Linked DNA regions of Astyanax mexicanus. The protein of the gene in region 2 purifies or fractionates together with the protein of the main gene of each other region. This does not show direct contact. Links are inferred from orthologs where the notes say so. Each region holds a gene or a part of one and is shown on either strand. Other genes may lie near its edges.

Region 1 (11,765 bases), on a different chromosome or scaffold from region 2:
TTTTTTCCATTCCAAACAAAAAAATACAAAGCAGCTCTCCCCAAAATCATAGTTAGTTTGTTACAGCTATAAAACTTTGTGTAAATGTGAAAGAAGTATAAAAAAAAAAAAAAAAAAAAAAAAAAAAAAAAAACGAGTGTATCTTAATATTTATTCTTGATGTAGTCAAGTAGACATTTTCTAAAGGCACAATCGGGAAAAAAATGGACCAATTGTACAGGTATAAATTCCATGTTTGTTTTTGAAAATATATCAAGAGTATACAAAGTATGCAATTCAGTTCTATTCCAATTTGCATTGAATTACATTGCTGTCTGTGCAAATCCATTATCTTTCCATGGACCATCTACAGTCCTTATTCTTGGCTATGAATGTTTTGTGTTTTCAGTGCCTTATTTGTCAGTCGTGTCCACTCTTTAAGAGGGTGAGAGATGCTTGCTCCTCCAGGTTGCCCCCTATAGTTCCTGTTCACTGACTGTACTGTAAAAGACTTCATTAATGTTTCTAATGTGTAAAGCAGTGATGAACCCTCTTGTGTTAAACCTCATTTGAAATTGGACCTGAGCTTTTATTTTGTTTTATTTTATGTGTTTGGACATTTGACCAAGCAAGGAGCATACATTAGACATTTTTCAGTCAAAAAGCCTTTTAAAAACACTGTGAGCTACATCTCTTCTGTGCTTCGGGAATAAAATCTGATCTGTACATACCATTGTTTGGTGTTTCAAATGATTACTACACAGATGACAATTACTTGTCATCTAAAACTAAAAAATGAGTTTTGACCCAGAATCAGAGTGCTGTAGAGGTTTTTCCTATATGGGGTTATAGGTGGTTGTAACACTAGGCAACAATATGCAGCTGCCTGTGGTCCTACTGAGCCACAGGGGGATGATGTTTTTAAATTAGATATACTGTATGTTCTGGAGATAAATATCCTGTTTTAACACATACATGCATTTAAAATAGGTGTTAAAATGGCCATTGTAATGTCTGAAAGTCTGTTATTACTTTTCATAAATGTTAATGTGGGTCCACCACCAGATTGTAATGTTATGGAATATTCACAACTGTGCGTAAACAAATAGTGTGTAAAAACTGGTGATTATGCTATTAACTGTGTGGATAGTAAATCCTTCTTTGTGGTATATTAGTAATTTATTTTGGAATAGTAGGTAGCTTTGAATGTTAAACTGATATTCTGGAACTGACACCCCTGATAACAGCATTTAAATTAATTAACAATCAAATACCTGCAGAAATCAGATATTGTCAGTAATCCAATGAATGTGTTTACATGTACATCAGTAATTAAATAATAGGACAATGTTGGGTCAGACAATAACCAGGTTTCTACTTTACAACCAGCCAATAATCTCACAGACAGATGTTTCCAAAATCAATGAATATTTCTATGTTTAGAGTTTTACAGCCCTGAATTCATGGACCTAAAGCAGTACTAAACTGTCCAACTCTCTATTGTTAGATCCTAATATATGTCTATATTTAATAATAATAAATTAATAATAAAATATAAATATATTGTAAAACAGACAAAAACTTATATGTAATGGATTATCTTTCAAGAGAAACTGAAAAAAAAATGAAATGATTTCCAAATGAAGACCATACTCAAGAAAATTCAAAGGCTCTACCATTAAGGCTAATGGCCAAGTTTGGCAGAACAAGAGCACTTCCAGTGGGCCAGACTCTTTTAATTAACACCTTGTAGTGCACTAAAAAAAGTGTGAAGCACCACCACATAAAGACAAGCCACAAACAGTGCCTGAGTCAGAGTAGAGTGAGGTTAAGACGAATTTCCATGCGTTTTTTTTTTTTTCTATAGAGATACCTCAAGCAGAGTTCCACAGCTCTCCAAGCCGTTGGCTGCAAACATTTATATACTCAAGCCTTTTACCCATTCTCTAATTGGCTGTTTGGATTGTATGTTGATCCCAAGTCATTACTGACTTGCCTTTATGGCCACTCCATCAATTAACATCTGGCTAACAAGGGTGTGGGTTCTCCAGCAGGGCGTCAATAATACTGGTGCAGCTTGCATTTCCATATGTGGTAAGCTGAAGTGCATAAGCTTTTGGGGTGCCAGTGACATGAAACCCATGGCAAAGCATTAATCAGCTTGCCTTTTTTTATGTTCATCTCCTGCTCTGACTGAGCTACGACCAGTTCTTCAAAGCTATGTCTTTTAATGTATCCCTTAAAAAACAGATCCAAGAGCAGCAATTAAAGCCGGACGGTGCCACCCTTAGAGCCGTAACACACCTCATTACTCATCCTGCCTGTTTCAGTTTCTACATGCAGCCAGTTACCCCCGCCGTCTCTCTGTCTAAAACAAATGAACAGTCTGGTTATGGTTAGTTCAATTCTTTCATCCATATCTTCCTCTAATCTATTTAATTAAGCAGTGGGGCTGTCAGAATTACTGGCCCATGCTTCTCTGTGGCAGAGTTTAAATTAACCACGCGGTCCATTTCCTTACTATTCACATTCATTCTTTATTATTACTCATGCTCACACAAAACCAAGTGTCATACAATTCATTTATGTTTTATACACGAGGACAATACAAATATATGCTGAACCAACATATATTATTCAAATATTAAAAATAATGTCACTATTTATACTGGTAAATAAAAATGGCAGCAACTGTTTTTTTATATTGTAACTATACAAATAAATGTATGTTTATAAAACATGATGGTCAATGAATGGCTTTGTGCACTCCATCTACTTCACACCCCGTTTTGCCTGCAAAGAAAAATACATTAAGTTAATTAAGAATAAATATTAAAACAATTTAGATATTAAGGTCAGAGAACACATACTATACAAATACAAACAAACTTAAACTTTTAGTTTGCTTAAAGTAACGACAAATAAGAGTGAAAATCCTAAGGGCTTCAAAAACTACCGGTATACACATATATAAGAACACATCATGTACTTCTGTGTTCATATCCATCCAAATGATGCACTCTTCTCTTAATATATACAAATCCAACAGGTGGTTTATTTTATCCAAACTACATAATTTAAGAAGTGAGAAGGGTGGTGTGAAAATTTATTTAGTTTGAAATATGAATGTCTGAATCTGCACCTAAAACAATGACAGCAAAAAAATCCTTCTTGTTGATTGTTCCGCAAAAAAATTGATTTATATAACACCAAAAAGGTCACGCTGTTAAATCTAAGACATTTTTAGTTTCTGTATACAGTTACATTAATATACCACAAGTAACGGGACAGAATAGTATCATGTCTCATGATTTTTGCCATTTGCCATGGAAGATAAAAAAGAAAACCTTCACTGAAATGCAGGATATGCATCTGGGCCCTTCTGTTTCAAATGGCATTTGATTTTCATAAGAACAATTTTTAAAAAGCATAATTTCAAATATTACAATTCAGAGTAAGGACTTTTTGTTTAATTTGCTAATTAATGCCAATCTCTTAATGTTTTCCATTTTATTTAATGTTGTATGAGTTTCAGTACTGACAGACGTTAGTCTAAATCAAATCATGTTCTGTTGTATTCCCATTATATTAAATGTTCCCCACAATTTGACACGTTTGCTGTTATTATACAGTTTGGACACACCTTCTCATTCAATGTTCTTTATTTCTTTATTTATTTTCTACACTGTAGATAAATAGAAAAGACAAAAATAATTAAGGGACAAATATGGATTTACGTAGTAAACAAAAAAAAATCCCCTGACCTAAACCCAACTGAGATTGGGTGATTTGGGATGAGCCGAAGCTTTACAGCGTGACGGAGTAGCAGCGACTATTGTTCAGCTGCTGCTTCAGCACCTTCAGGAACTCCTTTGAGAGGTTGAGAAAACTATTCCACGTGACTCTACATCATGAAGACACTGAGATTAAAATACCCATTTGTGTGTGCAGATCTGTCCCCAAAGATAAATGTGGCCATTTAGAAGAATCATTCCACATGTGTTCCTGAAAAGCTTTAATGTATTCATTATTAAATGTACAATATAAAAAAATATATACATATATATATATATAAAAAAAAGAAAACACACTTAATGAAAAGAAGACCAAACATTTGACAGGTACTGTATACAATAAAACATATTGTAATTCACTGCCTGGCCAAAAAAAAGTCGCCACCAAAAAAAAGGTCACACACTCTAATGTTTCGTTGGAACGCCTTTAGCTTTGATTGCAGCTTGCATTCACTGTGGCATTGTTTCAATAAGCTTGTCATAAGATTTATTTAAATCCAGTGCTGCATTAATTTTTCACCAAGATCTTGCAGGATTGATGATTGTCATGATGCCATCATGGAAGAAAAAAATCCACTGATGGAATAACCGGGTCTATATTCAGTATATTCAGGTAGTCAGCTGACCTCATTCTTCATACTGTTGCTGAATCTAGACCTGACTAACTGCAGCATCAACCCCACATCATTTACTTAGTTAAATCCAGGTGCCGACTTTTTTTTTTTTTGGCCGGGCAGTGTGCTAATGGTTTTAGGTTTACTCACAGCAGAGACAAAGCAGGTCTTCAGGGCTTCAAACTCTTTTACACATAAATCTTTCTTCAGCTCCTGTTTACCAGTAGTAGTGGAGACCACACATTTCCCATAAACTGCTGCCTGTAGGAAAAAGAGTCAGAGAACAGTTAATCAGCTGTCTGTAAATCATTTAGTTTACAGCTGCTGTTAAAATGTTATCGAAAGTCTTGAGACTCGGCTCTCGCAAATAGTGATGTGAACGATGTCATCAACCAATAGGAGATCTACGGGAAGCCGCAGGTCAAGAATATTTGAATATATGACTGTTTACAAACGATTTGAAAGAGAACACAGTTTTCAGTTAATAAGCCTTTTATGTTTCTTTTTCTCTTCTTCTTTCTAGGTAACGTTAGCACTTTAAAGTCATTATATTTAAAGTTATTTTATTTTGCACTACGTTATCTTATTGTGTAGTGTTATTTCTGATACAAACAAATGTAATAAATACACATTTTGCAAGAATGATGTTCTTTATTGCACTAATTCTATCTAAAACAAAGACAAATGTACAGCAGTGAAACTGTGATTCTTTGCTATACAAGGTTGTAGCAAAAAAGGGGGTGGGAAAAAGATGCTTATAAGCAGAGTTGAACACAAAATATATTAAAAAACAAAAGTTGTCAGTCTCTGATAAATCACAGTATTGATATACATATTATTTGTAACTCAGGATGTTATATTCATTGTATGTAAACTCAACCAGAAGCATGATGGGAAATAATCTCAGGAAGAATCTAGTTGCAGTCTTGCAAATAGTGACCCCCAGTCTTTGCAAAATCTTAGTCTGTGAGTAAAAAGTCTGTGACTAGTCTTTAGATGTGAGAGGGTGTCAGACTTTAGTCTGTTAAGCCTTTTCAGAGTCTTTTCAAAGTCATGTAGGACCAGAGGAACAGCAGATGAACACAGCATTGGACAGGTATGGGCACCATCATACAGGTACCTCTGTGAAGCACTGGGCCAGCAGGTCGGGGAACCGCCTCATCCTCTCTCGGCTCCGGGTCCAGGGGTTTGTCCCTGACATGATTCTGATCAGCTTTAAGTCTCAGCACAACCCACAGTTATTAACATTAGCTCACAGGCAGGCTAACTCCTGCACACAGAGAGAGATAACACACATTTAACAGTAAAATACCGCGCTGTTTTACACTGTTTAACAATATACATCAATTACCCATAAACTCCAACACTCAGCTTTAACACTCTGATCAAAAACACATGATTAAATCATATTACTGACAGAAAACAACAGCAGGCACTACTCACCCCGTGCTCACCATGTTAGTGACGAAGAAACGGCCCGCCCTCTCACACCAGTGATTGGTCAAACATCTGTATGACCCGCCCCCTAAAATTGACTATCTTTGCTGATTGGCTACTAAAGACATTTCAGTAAAACAGATGAACCAATGAATCATTAGGGCTTGTGCGGCAAGGTCGTGACAGAACGTTGTAGTACTGAAGAGCGTGATTCAAATTCCAGAATCGATTCTTTTGAACTGTCGTGTTCAATGAATCGACTCTGCTTTTAAATATTACATTTTGACAGCATAGTTGTTTAAATACCTAATCATAAAAGACTACCTAAGAAAAATAAAAATAAGAGACCACCTAAAAATTAGGCATAATGTTATCCAAAAGCAGAGTGTAAGACTGGTGGAGGTGCATGAAAACTGTGGTTGAAAGCCAGGGTTATTCCACCAAATATTAATTTCTGAACTCTTTTGTATAATTTAGGCATTTTAATTATTTAATTAGCTACTTTAATTAAAAAAAATAAGATATTTAAACGTATCCATAATTTTTCTGTTCACCCTGTCATCCTGGGATGAATGCCCATTTTAGAAAGTAATCTTTAAACATCAGTGGCATCAGAATCAGAAGGACTGATGACACTTTCTTTATGTTCAGTAACATTCAGTAATGTTAGGCATTCTTAAACATTTTTCACAACTGTTCCATAACTTAACCCTTTTAACAGATATACATCTATTTTTTAAAATGAATTAATCTAATTAATCTAAATTAATCTGCACACTGAAAGAAAAGCATGGCAGCATCACAGCTAATGAGGCAAAATATTTTTTTCCTATCATGTATTTGGTTTTACTCCACAGGAATGATTTGCAAAATAAAAGAAGGTGTTTAAAAGTTATATAGGATAAAAATAATGTTAAACTAATTATTTTTTATTAGTTACTTTATTTATTATTTTATTTACAAAATAATTAACTTGTTTGTGAGTGCATTACATTACAAACAGAAACAGCATTTTCTTTCATTACTGGAACATAATTCAGGTCTGAACGGGTTAAGAATCGGTTCGAGGTGTTCACTAACAGATGCAGTGATTCGCTAAGTGCACGGTCATCCACCAAGTCACGCACAGCAATGGTACACAGAGCGGTGGACTGCTCATCGGAACGAGATGGCTACACTAATGGAAAGGCTGACTTTCCTTCAGAAAGTAGGTATCAGACACGGCATTTTGTGTGGGAGACCAGCGAGCAAAGATATCTGCTATCTGGATTTTACTCTGGAGTGTTTAGCTACAGTGTGATAGCCGCAGCTAACTGGCTAACTAGCTAACGCTAGCAAACTCCCGTAGAGTTACACAGCAGGGTTAGCTAGCCTGTTAGCTGTCAGAGGATTCTGACATTTATATTTATACTATATTTATATTTTACCCCCTATTTTACTCTTGCTTTCAGCTGGTTTTGCTGAGCGCCGCAGTCTCTAACCCTGTCTTCTCCCTGACTGCTGTTTAGGTGCCGACCCTCATGAAGGCAACAGCAGATGACGAAGTGCCCTGCCCCGGCTACCTCTTCCAGGACATCAACAGTATCCTTCTCCCAGCAGCTTTCACTCTCATTACAACACATTACCCACACAGCTCTGGAAAAAATTAAGAGACCACTTTAGTTTCTAAATCAGATTCTCTTATTTTGCTGTTTTATAGATATATGTTTGAGTACAATGAACATTGTTGTTTTGAACACAACTTGAACACAAAATGAACACAACTGTTCTCCATCAAATTCCTTCACTCACTTCAAATCATAGAAATCTCACATGAGTCATTGGGCTGCTGCCAGTGTCTTCTGGAGTACCTCCTGGAGCGTCTGCAGGTGGAGTCCTGCCATGTGAAACTGAAGGTGAGAGAAACTCAAGCACAAACCTCCATTTGTATCGTAGAGGAGGGAAATGAGGAGTTGATTAAATGTGATTGTCTGTTTCTTTGAGATTTCTCACCCCTCATTTCTCTGTCCAAGGTTCTGAAGATCCTCCTGCATCTGTGTGGACATGGTCCTCCTCACTTTCTCACAGAACTGAGGCGGAATGCTACATTCATCCAAGAAGTAACTGGTAATTAGTGTTTTCTTTTTCATATATTATACGACAAAACGATATTGTAATTATTGCAACAGACCTAGATCCTTTGAATAAAATGGACACTGTACTTGGATATGGTTACTTTATTTACACACATATAGAGTACTTTAAACCCTTATTTTTTGGAGTAGACGTACAAAAGTACCAGCCTAACTTACCGGTACACAACATTTTCACCCATTTCTTAAAGCAGACTGACATGTTGTGTGGTCTCTCAGTTTACAGTGGTCCACCAGATCCCATTCATGGCAATGCTCCCTTTCAAAGGGTCAGGGTTGCAGCGCAGGTGAGATGTGTGTCTTTCTCTGTTAAATACTGAGGTTGTCAAACCTGAGATTTTGTAATTATCTGTTTCTTCCTTTGCCTTATAATATTAACAGTTTATCTGACACATTTAATTTTTAAATGAACAAAGATTTAATGTTTGATTGTGGCTATTTTATAGGAACTGGCCGGTGTGCTGTTTAATGATACAATGTCTGCAAACTCTGGACTCTCGCCATGCAAAGCTGCAACTCCAAGCCTGGGTAAGGGAGCTTTCTTGATGGAAATGTTAAGTTTCTTTTTTTATGGAAAAATGCTGTTTATGTGATGATACCCATGAAAAAAGTTGTGAAGGATTCTGTATTGTCCAACATTTGTGCATGTGTATTTGTTAAGCACGATTCTTATCATTGTCAACTGACTGTTTATTTACTGATAATAACAGCTAATTAAAGAATTTAAGCATAAAGATATTTTCTGTAGCCACAATCTGTGTAATATTCTGTTATTTTATTTTGTTCGGCAGGAATGGGATCAGAATCTCTCCGCTCAGGAATGCAGGGATTTGGAAACAGCCCTGGAAGGAAAACATCCAGTAAGAGAGTAATTTTCACTTTACCAAAACGAACTGTGATTTTTTTTTACAGCAATTAAATGCCTGCATTAAATTATGTAGCTCCATGTATCTGTCCTCATCCTCCATATATACAATATCTCTTCCCAAGACAGAGCGACTCTTCTGGGTAAAATTCAGAAGGCTGCAGAGGTAGTTGCCAGTGCTGTCCTTCCACCAACAGAGCAGCCTGGGATTCGTCTATATGACAACCACTATCGGGCAGTGGTTGCTCCCTCTGCTGCAGTGGAGGTGGCAATGCCAGCATGTGCTTACAGTGTGCCCACTCACAGCCACAAAGGTTAGCTGTGCACACACAGACCCTCATAACAGCTCTTCGTCCAAGCTATGGATTCTGGATTCTGTTTATATACGGGAGTTTTGTTCATCATTAAAATCAAATTCCTTATTTCTAGCTTCTCACAGATGTCCAGGACAGGCAGGTGGAGGTTGGGAGGAGACTGGTAGTGGGCACAGCTCCTCTCACAACTCTTCTCTTGAGATTGAGCCACTTAGCCACACTTCCAGGGGGGACAGCAGCAAATCCGGTGAAACAGGCAGCCATTCGGGGGCCAGTCGAGAGAGTGGAGACTTGGCAGAACGGTAAGGGATCTCATTAGTCTGCTTGAAACTTTTTTCCCCACTTTGTGGTTCTGTGAATAAAGAGCTTGAGGGAAAGTTGTCTGAATTCATGAACACAAGACTAGTGTTCATGTTATGGACACAATTTAACTCTAGAAGTAATAATAAAATGCACATTTATTTATAGCATGTTATGAAGAATTAGTATTTTTTCTAAAATGTTCATGGGTGAAACCTAAAAGCTTAGTTATAAGCTTTTATTTATATTTTACATAGAATTTATTTATTAATGCATGTAGGATCTGTGAGTGAATAGCCCACTGTAAAGGTAAATATTTTCTCTCTCAGTGTGGAGGCCATGCAGTTGGGAGACTGTGGTCAGGAGATGGCGCTGATCAGCAGTCTTACTAATGGTTCCAAAATCTTCCTGTCCAGAGATGAGAGCCAGCACTTCATTAAAGAGTAAGCATTTGTATATTGAGGCTGTATCCCAATAAAAGTATAAAAAATACTTGTTGGCAGTAAAGTCAGATTAATTAACTGTTTCTTTGTCCTGCTTCTCTAGGTGTTCTACTTTAAACTGTGAAGTTGTGGTAGAACTTCTCTCTCACAAATTGAAGGAAACAGCACAGACTGTCCAAATGGTACATTTATTTATTCTTTAGTATTTGCTATCTCATGTCTCTGTTTGGCAAAGCAACTGATAAAGCAAGTTCTTTCTCCTCTCCGCAGAGGGCCCTGTGTGGCCTGGCCTGCCTGATGTCTACAGATCTCCTCTCTCTGGACCAGATATTCTGTGTTACACATAAGCGCCTGGCCCAGCTCAGTGAGGAAGTGGAAGGACCTGTAGCCAACAAGTCAACAAAGGTTAAATAAATTGCTTTAAATCTTTGTATCTTTAGTGATAGCAGTGGGTGTACAATTCAGATCAGGAAAATAAAAATCCTTCCTAGAATTTTGCTCCCATTTCCTGGAAAGCTGTGCTGCAGCTCAGTCGGGAAGGATTTTTACTTTCTGGACCTGATTTCTCCACCACTGAGCAACAGCTGTTTATACTAGTATTGTATGTATTATTGAATATATTTTATCTCTCTTATGTACTGTATAGCTCCTTAGACAGTTTGAGGCACTCCTGGGCAGCTCCACGCCCCTGATGAAGACTGGCATTGCAGTCTGTCCAGAATCATCCAGCCCCTCGCTCTCAAAGCAGCCATTAAATCCCACCATTGTCAGCCCACTTCTTCTCCCAACTACTCTGGATGTTGAAGCACCTTCTAGCATGTCATCCACAAATTTCCCACATGCTCTTTCTTCTGAACATGGTCTAAAACAAGAGCATACTGTGACTGCTGCTGCTGTGGGAGAATCTGCTGAGAATGGAGTGCAGGTAGAGGACCCGCAGACTGTACATGAGGATGAGGACAAATACACAGAGCCCGCTAGACACCATCCTACTCTCTCACTGTTTAGTGGGATGGAGCTGGTAAACAGAGGGAAGCCTGTGTGTCTGGTTGAGCCTGTTCTTGTCGAGCCAGATGTCCAGACTGGGGCAGAAGGCTACACAGGCTTTGCTGTGGAGAAAAGCTCAGAAAGAACTGCAGACTCCTCTTTATCTACTAGTGGTGAACAAATCTCTGCCTTTTCCTTCGTCAACCTCTGATCTTCCTTTGCCTTCTGATTGAAACACCTTGGTCCAGGGTGTAGTATTATTTAATGACCTAAAAGTAATATTTAAACACCAAACCCCTCAATGCTCCTGATGCCAGCCTTTGTTATTTTAAACTAATTCTGAAAAATATTAAATGAACAAGTCTGCAGTATGCTAATTTTCAGGGAGGAACACGGGAGGTACACCTGAGGCATTGGTGCATGAAGTAATAAACAAAAAAAAAAAACACTTAATATTTATGTATCCAAATGCTGCTAGTTTTTTTTTTTCCAGGGACTGTGCTTGACAAGTATAACAATGCTGACACAATACACTTTTTAAAATGAATTTTATTGTTTTAATACCCACAAATTCACTGAATATCTCTGCTCTGGAAATAAGCAGAACAGTTAAAAAGGGAAAGCTGTAACGTTTCACTGCCCAAGATTTTTAATCTGCATTTTCACTTGGTCTGGCTACCTAAATATGGCTTAGTGTGTGTAGTTGAACTGTTAAGAAAGCCTTGTGTGTGCTGGGAGTTCTGCCCTAATTAGCAGACTTGGTTCCAAAATGAAAAACTGTAAAGAGATCTAATCTCTGCTCTGTCATGATATACATGACTTGTGTGTGTGTGTGTGTATACCATGAACAAGCCTGTCTCAGGACTACTGTAAGCATTAAGCATTGAATTTTGCACTATG
Region 2 (11,479 bases):
ACTTTAGCAGAGTTTGGAGTGGGGGTGCACTGTTCTACTGTGCAGTGATACCTGCTCAAATAGGACCTCAGAAAAAAGTGTGTCCTGTGTCCTCACCACAATAATCATTGTCAGAAGATTTCTTAAAGGAATAAATCTTAACAAGCCTGATGTAGTTTGGAAACAAATTATGTGCACTGAGAAAGTTTTTGGTAGCAGTAAGTATGGTTGTGGTGAAAAATATTATGAAAAAACTGCTTGCCAACTGTTAAGCATGGGGGTGGATGGATCATGGATCATGCATGCATCATGCTTTGGGATTGTACTGCAGCCAGTCACACTGAACATTTCTCACTGGCTATAATGCATCATAACTGATTAAAATGAGAGAATTCAGAGCCAATGAAATTACAACAAACCTGTGACTCATGAGGCTTCCATCCAATCATGTACAGGATCTCAAACGTCGCCGGGACGGACCCATCCTCATTACCGTACATCTCTAAAACAAAGAACAGTGCAGATATCAGTGCTTTACTGCTCTCTTTACTTAAGCTTTATATAACTCTAGTTAGGGCTGTACAGGGTTGTAATATATAATAATTATTAATATATTCTACACATATTAACTAGATAAAAATGTCCATATTTATTATGAACTCACCTTTATAAATAGCAGCTGCTGCTAGCATGGTGTCTCTGTGCAGGAGGGATCTCCTGTTCCACGCACAGTTACTCTCTCCCATACCTGAAATCATAAATACATCATACATATAGAGATGTGTTAATCATTCATTATCCTTTAATTATTTGGAAAATGAGGCAGAAACTCTACCTTGTAAATCTGACATGACTTCGAGCATCCCTGGGTAATTAACCTGGATCTCATCAACATCCTGCAATCAATACAGGAAAGATTACCTCCATACAGTTTAAACACAGGTATATTCAATATGAAAAATAAAAAAAAATAAACTGATGAAAAAAAATAATTTAGAATAGAAGCCAATGGGCTCCTGGGTGAAGCAATAGTCTAAGAGTTGGGTGGATAGGACGGCCCTCCCTCTTTAACATTACTTAGCATGACGCTAATTAGCCAAGGTGTTCGGTAGCTAATGCAAGTAGTAAGTGCAAGTTTTATATACCAGTAATCATTGGCCTAAAACAGCTACTAATAACATCAGCAGTTCTGTTTTTAATCATTTTAGTTTATTTTCTGTTTTACCTTTTTATTTTATTTCTACTGTTTGCTTATTTTTATTATTCTAAATAAAATCTTAATTGTCTGTTTGTTTTTTTATTCTTTTGCCCTTTAATTTTTGTATTTTTTTGTTTATGAGTTAACTTATTTTAGCCTAACCTGTTAAAAGACTTTATAATTTTCTTTTCAAATTTTAAGTGTGAAAAAAATAAATAGTGAAATTAAAGGTGGATTAATTGATCGATTGACACTGTATTACATTACAATACAGTTTTAAGTTGGCATTTCTATGTACCAAAAAAAATCGCTTTTTTAATATTATTTAAATTGTCATGGTCAGGCAAAAAAAGCCTTGTATCTCCAAAAATAAAATCTTAACTTTCAATATTTTAGTTAAGATTTTATTGTTGTATTTTATTGTATTAAGACCTTTTGTAGTATTTTATAAAATGCATAATGTCTAAGATGTTTAAAAACATTAAATCAAGGTTCTTTACATTATTATACTTCTATTATACAGATTAGACTGAAACACTGGTTGATTTCTGATGCTGCATAAGAACAGTCCAGTGGCGCCTCCAGCTGGAGAGGCTGCAGTTTGTCTGGCTGAGTGATGAACCCCTTATTTCAGCCATTTCTTATTTTCTTATTTCTTATTTCTTATTTCCTCACCACGGTGAGCATGTTGAAGCCGGCCTGGCTGAGCAGGTTGCCCAGGTCGGTGACGGCGGTATAGGGGGAGATGTGGGGGGAGAAGCCCCCCTCCCTCTCCAGCTCAGCCAACTGCAGAGAACAGCGCAGCTCATACAGCGTCTCACCACCAACCATCGCCCCGATAAACACCCCGTCCGGCTTCAGCACACCGTTTATCTACAGAGAGAGAGAGAGAGAACCCTAAGCCCATTTTTCTCCCCAAATTAGCATCACAGCACTAACGCTCAGAGGAAAGCGGTTCTGATACATCAGCTCATAGACGCAGCCTTGTGCTGATCCACATCACCCTAAGAGTGATGAGAGGAAAAAGCGCCATTTACTGTACCCACCCATGAGCGGGATTCAAACCAGCGAACCAGAGGGCAGAACATTACAATAAATGGCATCAATATGCTTTGGCTATCATTCCTGCAATGCCACATACCGGTATATTCATTTTAAAAACATGGTGTCTGGTAGGTCCCTACAGGACCTTTTTCTGGTTATTACAGGATTTGCTGGTTATCTGAGCAACCAAAACCCTGCTTATCCTAAATAAAATTACCAGATTAATTAACTCTGAATAGAAACTGGCCCACAATTAACGTTTTAAAAGTACCTCAACTTCTCACCAAAAAACTACACTGTTACTTCAAATAAATAAACCAGCAAATACAAATAAAACATACCTGTCTCAAAGCTCCAGGAAGATCATTGATCCAGTGCATGCTATAAACAACAAACACACAATGATGGTAATGAAAAATACCCTGCTGCAGTTTATATTGTGTTTATTATATTTAATAGTATACAAGAACATATTCATAAAGATTAATCTGTATGAAATAATCACACTTTAAATATTGTTTAATATGTGCACTTTTTTGTAAACACAGTCACCCAAAATCCTTGTATATATACAGCTCTGGAAAAAATAAGAGAAATGTATCGTCGCTGTCCAAAGAAAAACACTTATCTCCAAAACAGCAACTTTACAAGAGAGAGAACAAACCTTCTAAACTTTCAATGGAAGTCAATGTAAAAAGAGTTTATTTCAGGTCATTTTGAAGAGTTTCTATTGGTCCGTTCATCAAGAAATTTTGGCACAATGTAAGGGACAGTTTGCCTGTTCAAATTATGTAATAAAATAAAAATTGACAAAAATCGAGAAAAGTGTTTTTCATAGGACATCGACGATATTCACTTCCACAGAAAGGTAGCATGGTAAATTTACGTGCCCTGTAAAGGTAATATTTTGGAGATGCATATAATTTAAGTAGTAAAAAATGTTCAGTTTAACTACTAATTAAAATACATGAAGATTCCCAGCATACTTTATCTATTAGTGTATTGATGAATAATAGATTTACCTCAGGCTGCTGACCACCAGATCAAAGGTGTTCTCCTGAAACGGCAGGAACTCCTCGTCCGCCAGCACGCAGTGAGTGGGCATCTCACAGGGTTTCGTCTGCCTCTGAATCACACAATATATACACAATATATAATATAATTCACTCTTTACTATCTCCTGATCTTCTCCTTCACTTTCCAGCACCGCTACTTACCAGCAAACCCTCCGAAATGTCTGTGAGGAAAAAGCGCTCCACAACTTCCTGAAAAACAGAAACGTAGAGAACGGACTAGTTATTTAATATATAGTATGTATTTAATATGCTAGAAGTAATATCAAATATTCTTTAATTTTCCCAAATATCATCAGTGCGTTGTATAAATTCTACCAGTCAGGTATTAGGGAGCAGTAAAGTCACTCTGCTGAAGTACAGAGTTATAAGGGAGAGTTTTCAGTTAAGTTTCTCCAGCACTAAGGCTGGAGCAGTATTAGCATTAGCCGCTTACCACAGCGCTAGCTTTTCACTGTTCAGAGGGGAGTATATTGAACTGTAGTCTGTGTGTTTACCGTGTTAAAACAAGCTACGTGGGATGAACCGCTAGCTGGGGTTCCTTAGTCTAGCGCTATTAGCCGGCATTTACTAGCGCTAACCGCACTATTAAAAATATTGTAAATCTAAGCTTACTGTAAATAAACCCTAATAAACAGTTTTCATGAGAGAAATCTGTGTAGGATAACATCCGGCGCTCATTTGATTTTTTTAAAGATACTGAATATTGTTTAATTAGGCACTTCCCTCAGTTTCCCCATTAGAAAGGAAATGTGGTGACACCCTTGTTCCTTACTAGTGTTGCATAATGCGCCTTATAATCCTGTGCGTCTATGTATGAAAATAGACCAGACAATAGACGTTCATTAAGAGTGCGCCTTATAATCCAAAAAAAGTAAAGTACTAGTACTTTCCTACACCTTTAGGATAATCAGAGATAAGCTCAGAAAAGATCCAGCAGGTCTACCTTGCTCAGGTGCTCGGCAATGTGGCTTTTTCCACAGCCAACGTCCAGCGCTAACGGGAAGGTCCTGCAGAAACACCAGAAACAGTGATGTATAAACGCTGCTGATAGAGTAGAGATCAGAATGAGATACACAACATCACCATATCACCTTACCTCGCAATGTCGTAAACCCTGTCCGCAACTCTGATTCCAACCTGCAATGTTCAGAGAATTATTAAAACTCAAACCATCCAAATTTTAAATAATCGGGAAGACCAACAATAATGAAAAGTAATCGGTAGACTACTTGATTAATCATCTGAATAATCAGTGGCCTGCTGAAATAATCGTCTTACTAAGCAATGGACTACTCCTTTAATCATCTCAATATTTGGTAGACTACTTGATTAATCGCCTCAATAATCGTCAGACTACTTGATTAATAGTCTCAATAATCGTCAGACTACTCGATTAATTGTCACAATAATCAGTGGGCTGCTGGATTGATCCACTCAATAATCAGCAGACTTAATCGTCCCAATGATCGGTAGACTACACGATTAATCGTCAAAATAGTCAATGGGCTGCTAAATTAATTGACTCAATAATCGGTAGACTACTCGATTAATCGCCTCAATAGTTGGTAGACAATTCAATTAATCTTCTCAATTATCGGTAGACTACTTTATGATCATCTCAATAACTGGTAGAGTGCTCGATTAATCGTCTTATTATTTGATATTACTACTCGATTAACTGTCTCAATAGTCAGTAGACTATTTGATTAATCGTCTGAATAATCGTTGGGCTGCTACTCGATTAATCGTCGCAATACTCGGTAGACTATTCGATCAATCATCTCAATAATAAACAGACTACTCGATTAATCGTCTGAGTAATCGGTGAGCTACTGGATTAAATTGATAATCGCGTGTCTCTGACCTCATCTCTGAGATAGTCGTACTTGTGGTTGTCCTGCAGGGCGGAGGCCCAGCTCTTCTGCCTTTTCTTCATGTTTCTGTCGAACACGTTCATGGTTCCTCCGGCTCTGGAGGACAGACCGCGGGGCTGAGCCGCAGGGTGAAGCCGGCGCAGGGGGAGTGCAGCCCGGTCAGCAGAGCTGCAGCTCCGCGCCGGCTGGGAGCTGATCCGGGGGGGCAGACCGAGGCAGAGCACACAGCCCCGCCTCAGAGCTCTTAGATTAATCACACTGTTCATCATTTATTACCTTTAGTAAAACATAACTTAATAAAATCAACTCTACAGTAACAAGTGCATTTTAAAACCGCTGACCTTCCGTCTGCAGTCTCAACAGTCACGTGGGTTTATGTGCGTGTTCCAATTCACAACAGGTAACTTGTACACTATCAAGTGGACTTGAGTTAGGTGCCAAGCAAAAATAAATAAATCTCTTTCAGAATAACATTTATCATTCACTTATGGCATTGTGTCATCACAAACATTATTAATTATTCAATTAACTGCTTAATTAGTATAGCATAATATATGTCAGAAAATATATATATGCATTAACTACAAACAGCATTTGATAAAAATAAGAGACCACTTGAAAAATTATGAGTTTCTTTAATTTTACCAAATTGAAAACCTCTTCAATAAAATTAAGAGGAAGATGGATGATCACAAGCCATCAAACCAAACTGAACTGCTTAAATTTTTGCACCAGGAGTAAAGAAGCATAAAGTTATTCAAAAGCAGTGTATAAGACTGGTGGAGGAAAACATGATGCCAAGATGCATAAAAAACTGTGATTAAAAACCAGGGTTATTCCACCAAATATTGATTTCTGACCTCTAAAAAACTTTATGAATATGAACTTGTTTTCTTTGCATTATTTGAGGTCTGAAAGCTCTGCATCTTTTTTATTATTTCAGTCATTTCTCATTTTCTGCAAATAAATGCTCTAAATGACTAAAATATTTTTATTTGGAATTTGGGCAACAGCAATGTTCATTTTACTCAAACATAAACCTATAAATTGCAAAATAAGAAAACCTGATTCAGAAACTGAATTGGTCTCTTATTTTTTTCCAAAGCTGTATGGTATCTTGTTGTAGTGATTATCTTGTTTTGTAACACTAATGCGCAGATTGGAACACGTCCCGCAGCTGCATAACGTGGGTTTTATTCATTCAAATACAGGTTGTGTTCCAATCTGCATATTAGGGGGTCTAACTAGTGTAATTAGTCTATTTAAAAACACTTAAATTACTCTGGCTTTATGTTTCTGCAGTTTTCTGTAGGTATTGAAATAATATAGATATAAAATTCTCACACATTCAGAATGAAGGCAGGGACGGGATGTTTTTTGGGTCCCCAGGCTTGCCGTAGTGTGGGTGGGCGGAGCTAGGAGAGGTCAGGGGTAACACGTGGATGGTGTGTGGAGTGGAGGATCAGAGAGTGGTGAGAATCTTACAGCTCTAATTTACCTTATTTACACTGTTTTACACTTTAAATCCGGTTTATTTAAACAGCAGAGAGATTAACAATCCGCTGCTGTATCAGATTATCTACTGACTTTATTCCTTTACCATTAATAACATTAAAATCACCTGTTTATCACTGAGCAGCAGAGGCTAATGCTAACTAATGTTATCATACTACATATCTAACTACAGTAACTCTGATTACTGTCTATCTGATTTTCCTATTTTATGTTTGAGTAAAATAAACATTGTTGTTTTATTTTATAAACTACAGACAACATTTCTCCCAAATTCCTAATAAAATATTGTAATTTAGTGCGTTTATTTACAGAAAATGAAAAATGGCTGAAATAACAAAAAAGATGCAGAGCTTTCAGACCTCAAATAATGCAAAGAATTCATATTCATATTCATAACGTTTTAAGAGTTCAGAAATCAATATTTGGTGGAATAACCCTGTTTTTTAATCACAGTTTTCATGCATCTTGGCATCATGTTCTCCTCCACCAGTCTTACACACTGCTTTTGGATAACTTTATGCTAATCACTCCTGGTGCAAAAATTCAAGCAGTTCAGTTTGGTTTGATGGCTTGTGATCATCCATCTTCCTCTTGATTATATTCCAGAGGATTTACATTTGCTTAAATCAAAGATTTACATTGTTAATGTATTATTGAAGACTATATTTAAGCTATACAGGAACTCATGCTGAATTATTCTGTAAACAAACAGTGTTAAACAAACTAGAATCTGTTTTATAGCTACTTTAGATTCTTCTAAATAAGGATTTTTATCTTTGAGAACAGATCTGCACACTGTTGGTGAGATTTTAATCTCAGTGTCTTCATGAGGGAGAGTCTCCTGGAATAGTTTTCTCAGAGTCCTGAAGGAAGGAGTTCCTGGAGGTGCTGAACAATAGCTGCTGCTATTCCTTCACGCTGTGAATCTCCAGCTCATCACAATTAAATCACCTCAAATCACCTCATATCACCGATTAATGTGGAGGAATAACACTTTATTAAATGTTTACGACATAATTCCATATGTATCCCTTAATCGTTTAATGTTTTTCATACGAATCTACAATTTAGAAATCAAAGGTGTGTCCAAACTTTTGACTGTTACTATATGTCAGTCTTAATAATATAACTGTAGCAAAAATAGTATGTTAGATTCTAACAGATAAAGAGAAGATGTAAAATGATGGGTCTTGTAGAAATGAATTATTACTCAGTGTAATGGTAACAGTACTGGTGGTTAGTGTTCTCCTTCAAGCGTGTTGAACTCCAGTGGTTTGGACATTGTCTTATCTGAGGTTCTATAATTCTTTACCCATCGAGTGCTAGTGGGTTTAACTGTATGAATGAATGAAGTTCAACTTATATAGCGCCTTTCTAGAAACCCAAGGACGCTTTACAATTTACACGTTTTTACACACAAGCACATTACACATCAACACTCATCCACACACCGGTGAGAAGCGGCAGCCAAAAGCGCACAGCGTACTCTCAACCGGAAACAACCGTCCACCTGGAGGACTGCATCGAGCACTACAGCATTTACCCAGGACAGAGTGCCAATCTATATCTGGGCACAGTCATACACACATTTACGCCCATTTTACACAGACACAAACTTACATACATACCACACATTTACACACACACCGGATCAATTTAGAGTATTCAGTTTTCTGGGCCATTTACAGTATTCAATGCACCAGATCAATTTAGAATATTCAATTTACCAGACCAATTTAGAGTATTCAATTTTTCTGGGCAATTTAGAGTATCCAATGTACCTGATCTCCATGTTTTTGCACTGTATGCAATTAGTGCTGAAATTGGTGCTTAAATATTGATAATACTAAACAGTTAAACAGTTGTGTGATACACACTTTGAAAAAAATTATCAAATAAAGTAATTTAACTATTTTTCTTTGTTTTCTAAGCAGGTTTCTGTGTGTAAGGAAGCTGTAGCTCCATCATGTCGTCTAAGAAGCAGCCGAGCTGTGATGACCGCTTCACCAAGATCACTAAGGATCCTCGCTTCTGGGAGATTCCGGACGTGGAGAAGAAGGTCCGGATCGATAAGAGGTTCCAGTCCATGTTCCATGACGAGCGCTTCAAGCTGAAGTACACGGTGGATAAACGCGGCCGGCCGGTCAGCCACACCTCCACCGAGGACCTGAAGCGTTTCTACAAGGTCTCGGACTCGGAGCAGTCCGACGGAGGAGAGGAGGAGCAGGAGGAGCAGGAGGAGCAGGAGGAGCAGGAGGAGAAAGAGAAAGAGAAGAAAAAGAAGACGAAAGGAAAAAAGGGAGTGGAGGAGGAGCAGGAGGCTCAGAAGGAAAAAGAGGAGGAACCTGCACCTAAGAAAACTGTAAAGAAAAGCAAGAAGGCTTTAAAAACCAAAGAGTCTGAAAAAACTGGGAAAACCACGTCATCATCAGAGCTGCTTAAAGGAGTGAGAGTGATAGAAGAAGGTAAATAATGCAAGGTGGTTGCTAAGGTGTTACTTTGTGATTGCTAAGGTGTTACTCTGTGATTGCTAAGGTGTTGCTGGGTGGTTGCTAAGGTGTTTCTGGGTGGTTCTTAAGGTGTTTCTGGGTGTTTTTTAAGGTGTTTCTGGGTGGTTCTTAAGGTGTTTCTGGGTGGTTCTTAAGGTGTTTCTGGGTGGTTTTTAAGGTGTTGCTAGGTGGTGTTAAGGTGTTCCTAGGTGGTGTTGAGCTGTTGCTATGTGGCAGCTAAGGCGTTGATAGGTGGGTGTTAATGTGTAGTGGGGTGGTTCTTAAGGTGTTGCTGGGTTGGTGTTAATGTGTTGCTGGGTGGTTGCTAAAGTGTTGCTGGGTGGTTGCAAAGGTGTTGCTAGATGGTGTTAAGGTGTTGCAAGGTATTGCTAGATGTTGTGATGTTACTATGTGGCTGCTAAGCTGTTACTCTGTGGTTGCTAGGTGTTTTTAAGATGTTGCTGTGTGGCTGCTAAGCTGATGCTCGGTGGTTGCTAAAGTGTTGCTGGGTGGTTCTTAAGGTGTTGCTCAGTGGTTGCCAAGCTGTTGCTTGGTGGTTGCTAGGTGTTTTTAAGATGTTGCTGTGTGGCTGCTAAGCTGATGCTCGGTGGTTGCTAGGTGGTGTTGCTATGTAGTTGCTAAAGTGTTGCTAGGTGGTTGCTAAGCTCTTGCTCGGTGTTTGCTAAGGTGTTGCTGGATGGTTGCTAAGGCATTGCTCAGTGGTGGCTAAGGTGTTTCCGGGTGGTGTTAAAATGTTGCTATGTGGCTGCTATGGTGTTGCAAGATGGTTCTTCAGGTGTTGCTCGGTGGTTGATAAGGTGTTAAGGGTTTGCTGACTGGGGAAATGCTAAGAGTTATCAGTTTAGAAAACATAAAACACAAACCTAAGCTATTATTTTTTTATATAGTTAGTTATATTACAATTAATTATATGATTTGTTCCACAATTATGTGGATATAGGTGATTATAATATTGTTGAAAACGATCCATTTTGTATATTTATGTTTGTATTTAATTTATTTACTGCATTTACTTTAAATGGTTTGTATTCAGTAAATATGCTTTAGTTTCATCATATTTATCATGTTGTTACACTTATTATTTTATACAAATCAAGATGTTAGTAGATGTTAGTAGTAAGGCAAAGGTTTAGTTTAGATTTTTATACCTGTAAATATATTATTATTTTCAGACTTTTATATATATACTAAATAATACTTTTGTATTTGTATTGTTGCAGAATATATTCATTAAATTGTGATATCGGCAAAAAAAAAAATGATCGCCCAAATACTTTTTTAAATTAAGAATATTTTAGATTAGAAGGTCAGGCACCTACTCATTGTCTGCAATGAGTGTAACTTTAAGTAGTACATTTATTAATACATATTCCTCTGTTTATACAGGAGAGGAAGATGAGGAGCAGGAAGAGGAGGATGAAGATGAAGAAGAAGGTCTCTCAGCAGAAAATGACATTGACGATGAAGAAGAAGAAGACTCTGAAGAGGATGATGATGAAGATTCTGAAGATGAAAGTGACAGTGGTCCAGATCTGGCCAGAGGAAAAGGAAACGTCGAGACCAGCTCAGAGGACGAGGAAGAGGAAGAGAAGGATGAGGTGGAGGATTACCTTCGTCGAGAGGAAGAGGAGATCGAGCACAACTGGGGGGAGATGTGGAAGGACGCTCCACGCACTGAGGAGGTTCGAATCGTTTAATTGTTTGAATACTGTTCTTGTATAGTTATACGTGATTTGCATCATTAAAGGTGCAGTAAATAACATTTTTTTCATTAAAGGTTCCATATTTTTATTTTACATTTCCCCTTTCTGTACAGTCTCTTTTTAGCGCTATTTAAACGGTGTATCCATTAACTTTTAATTATTAATATTTACCTAATTTGTAGGCCTGAGGCCTGTAAATATAATCATGTTATCGATCGATCAATCAATCATACAATATATGGACACAAAATCACTCATTTTTGCGGTGCTCAAAATTACCCATTGTGTTTACTTCCATGCTTTTTTATATAAATTAATAATACTTGTGACAGCATTTAAAAAATATGCTTAAAAATGTGCAGAGAAAGAAGACAAATCCAATGAATGAGAAAAGAAAAGCGTTAGCGTTATCCAGAATTAAAAGCACAAAAATAATAGACGAAACAGTAAATGTACAAAACTAAATAAACGAACCCAGCACAAAATTTAGTTTTTTTTTCTTATTTCTTCCCTTCTCATCCTCTCAACATTTTTTTCCTTCCCCTCTCTTTTAGTTTTCAAGACTATTAAAGTTTAACTA

Evidence for each region.
Region 1: the proteins of ndufaf5 (region 2) and ndufaf8 purify together in Homo sapiens (affinity purification with mass spectrometry; 3 studies listed by BioGRID and IntAct, counting the BioPlex papers as one, with this or other methods). This does not show direct contact. The link is inferred for Astyanax mexicanus from reciprocal best matches to the Homo sapiens genes NDUFAF5 and NDUFAF8.

What each region holds. Positions count from the first base shown.
Region 1 is NC_064422.1:33,105,946-33,117,710, forward strand, and holds ndufaf8 (NADH dehydrogenase [ubiquinone] 1 alpha subcomplex assembly factor 8), read right to left. Parts: upstream 5,936-11,765; 5' UTR 5,831-5,935; intron 5,658-5,830; 5' UTR 5,589-5,657; coding exon 5,508-5,588; intron 4,649-5,507; coding exon 4,538-4,648; intron 2,773-4,537; coding exon 2,752-2,772; 3' UTR 2,504-2,751; downstream 1-2,503. Other genes in the region: AP-4 complex accessory subunit Tepsin, read left to right, coding at 6,993-7,031, 7,333-7,405, 7,628-7,719, 7,837-7,930, 8,176-8,243, 8,403-8,484, 8,748-8,816, 8,947-9,135 and 5 more. UniProt on the Homo sapiens protein: Involved in the assembly of mitochondrial NADH:ubiquinone oxidoreductase complex (complex I, MT-ND1). Required to stabilize NDUFAF5.
Region 2 is NC_064428.1:34,487,390-34,498,868, reverse strand, and holds the start of ndufaf5 (arginine-hydroxylase NDUFAF5, mitochondrial), read right to left. Parts: upstream 5,558-11,479; 5' UTR 5,441-5,557; coding exon 5,162-5,440; intron 4,435-5,161; coding exon 4,394-4,434; intron 4,305-4,393; coding exon 4,241-4,304; intron 3,487-4,240; coding exon 3,439-3,486; intron 3,348-3,438; coding exon 3,244-3,347; intron 2,603-3,243; coding exon 2,563-2,602; intron 2,051-2,562; coding exon 1,853-2,050; intron 876-1,852; coding exon 815-875; intron 728-814; coding exon 644-727; intron 482-643; coding exon 399-481; intron 1-398. Other genes in the region: ESF1 homolog, read left to right, coding at 8,653-9,151, 10,583-10,878. UniProt on the Homo sapiens protein: Arginine hydroxylase that mediates hydroxylation of 'Arg-111' of NDUFS7 and is involved in the assembly of mitochondrial NADH:ubiquinone oxidoreductase complex (complex I, MT-ND1) at early stages. May also have methyltransferase activity.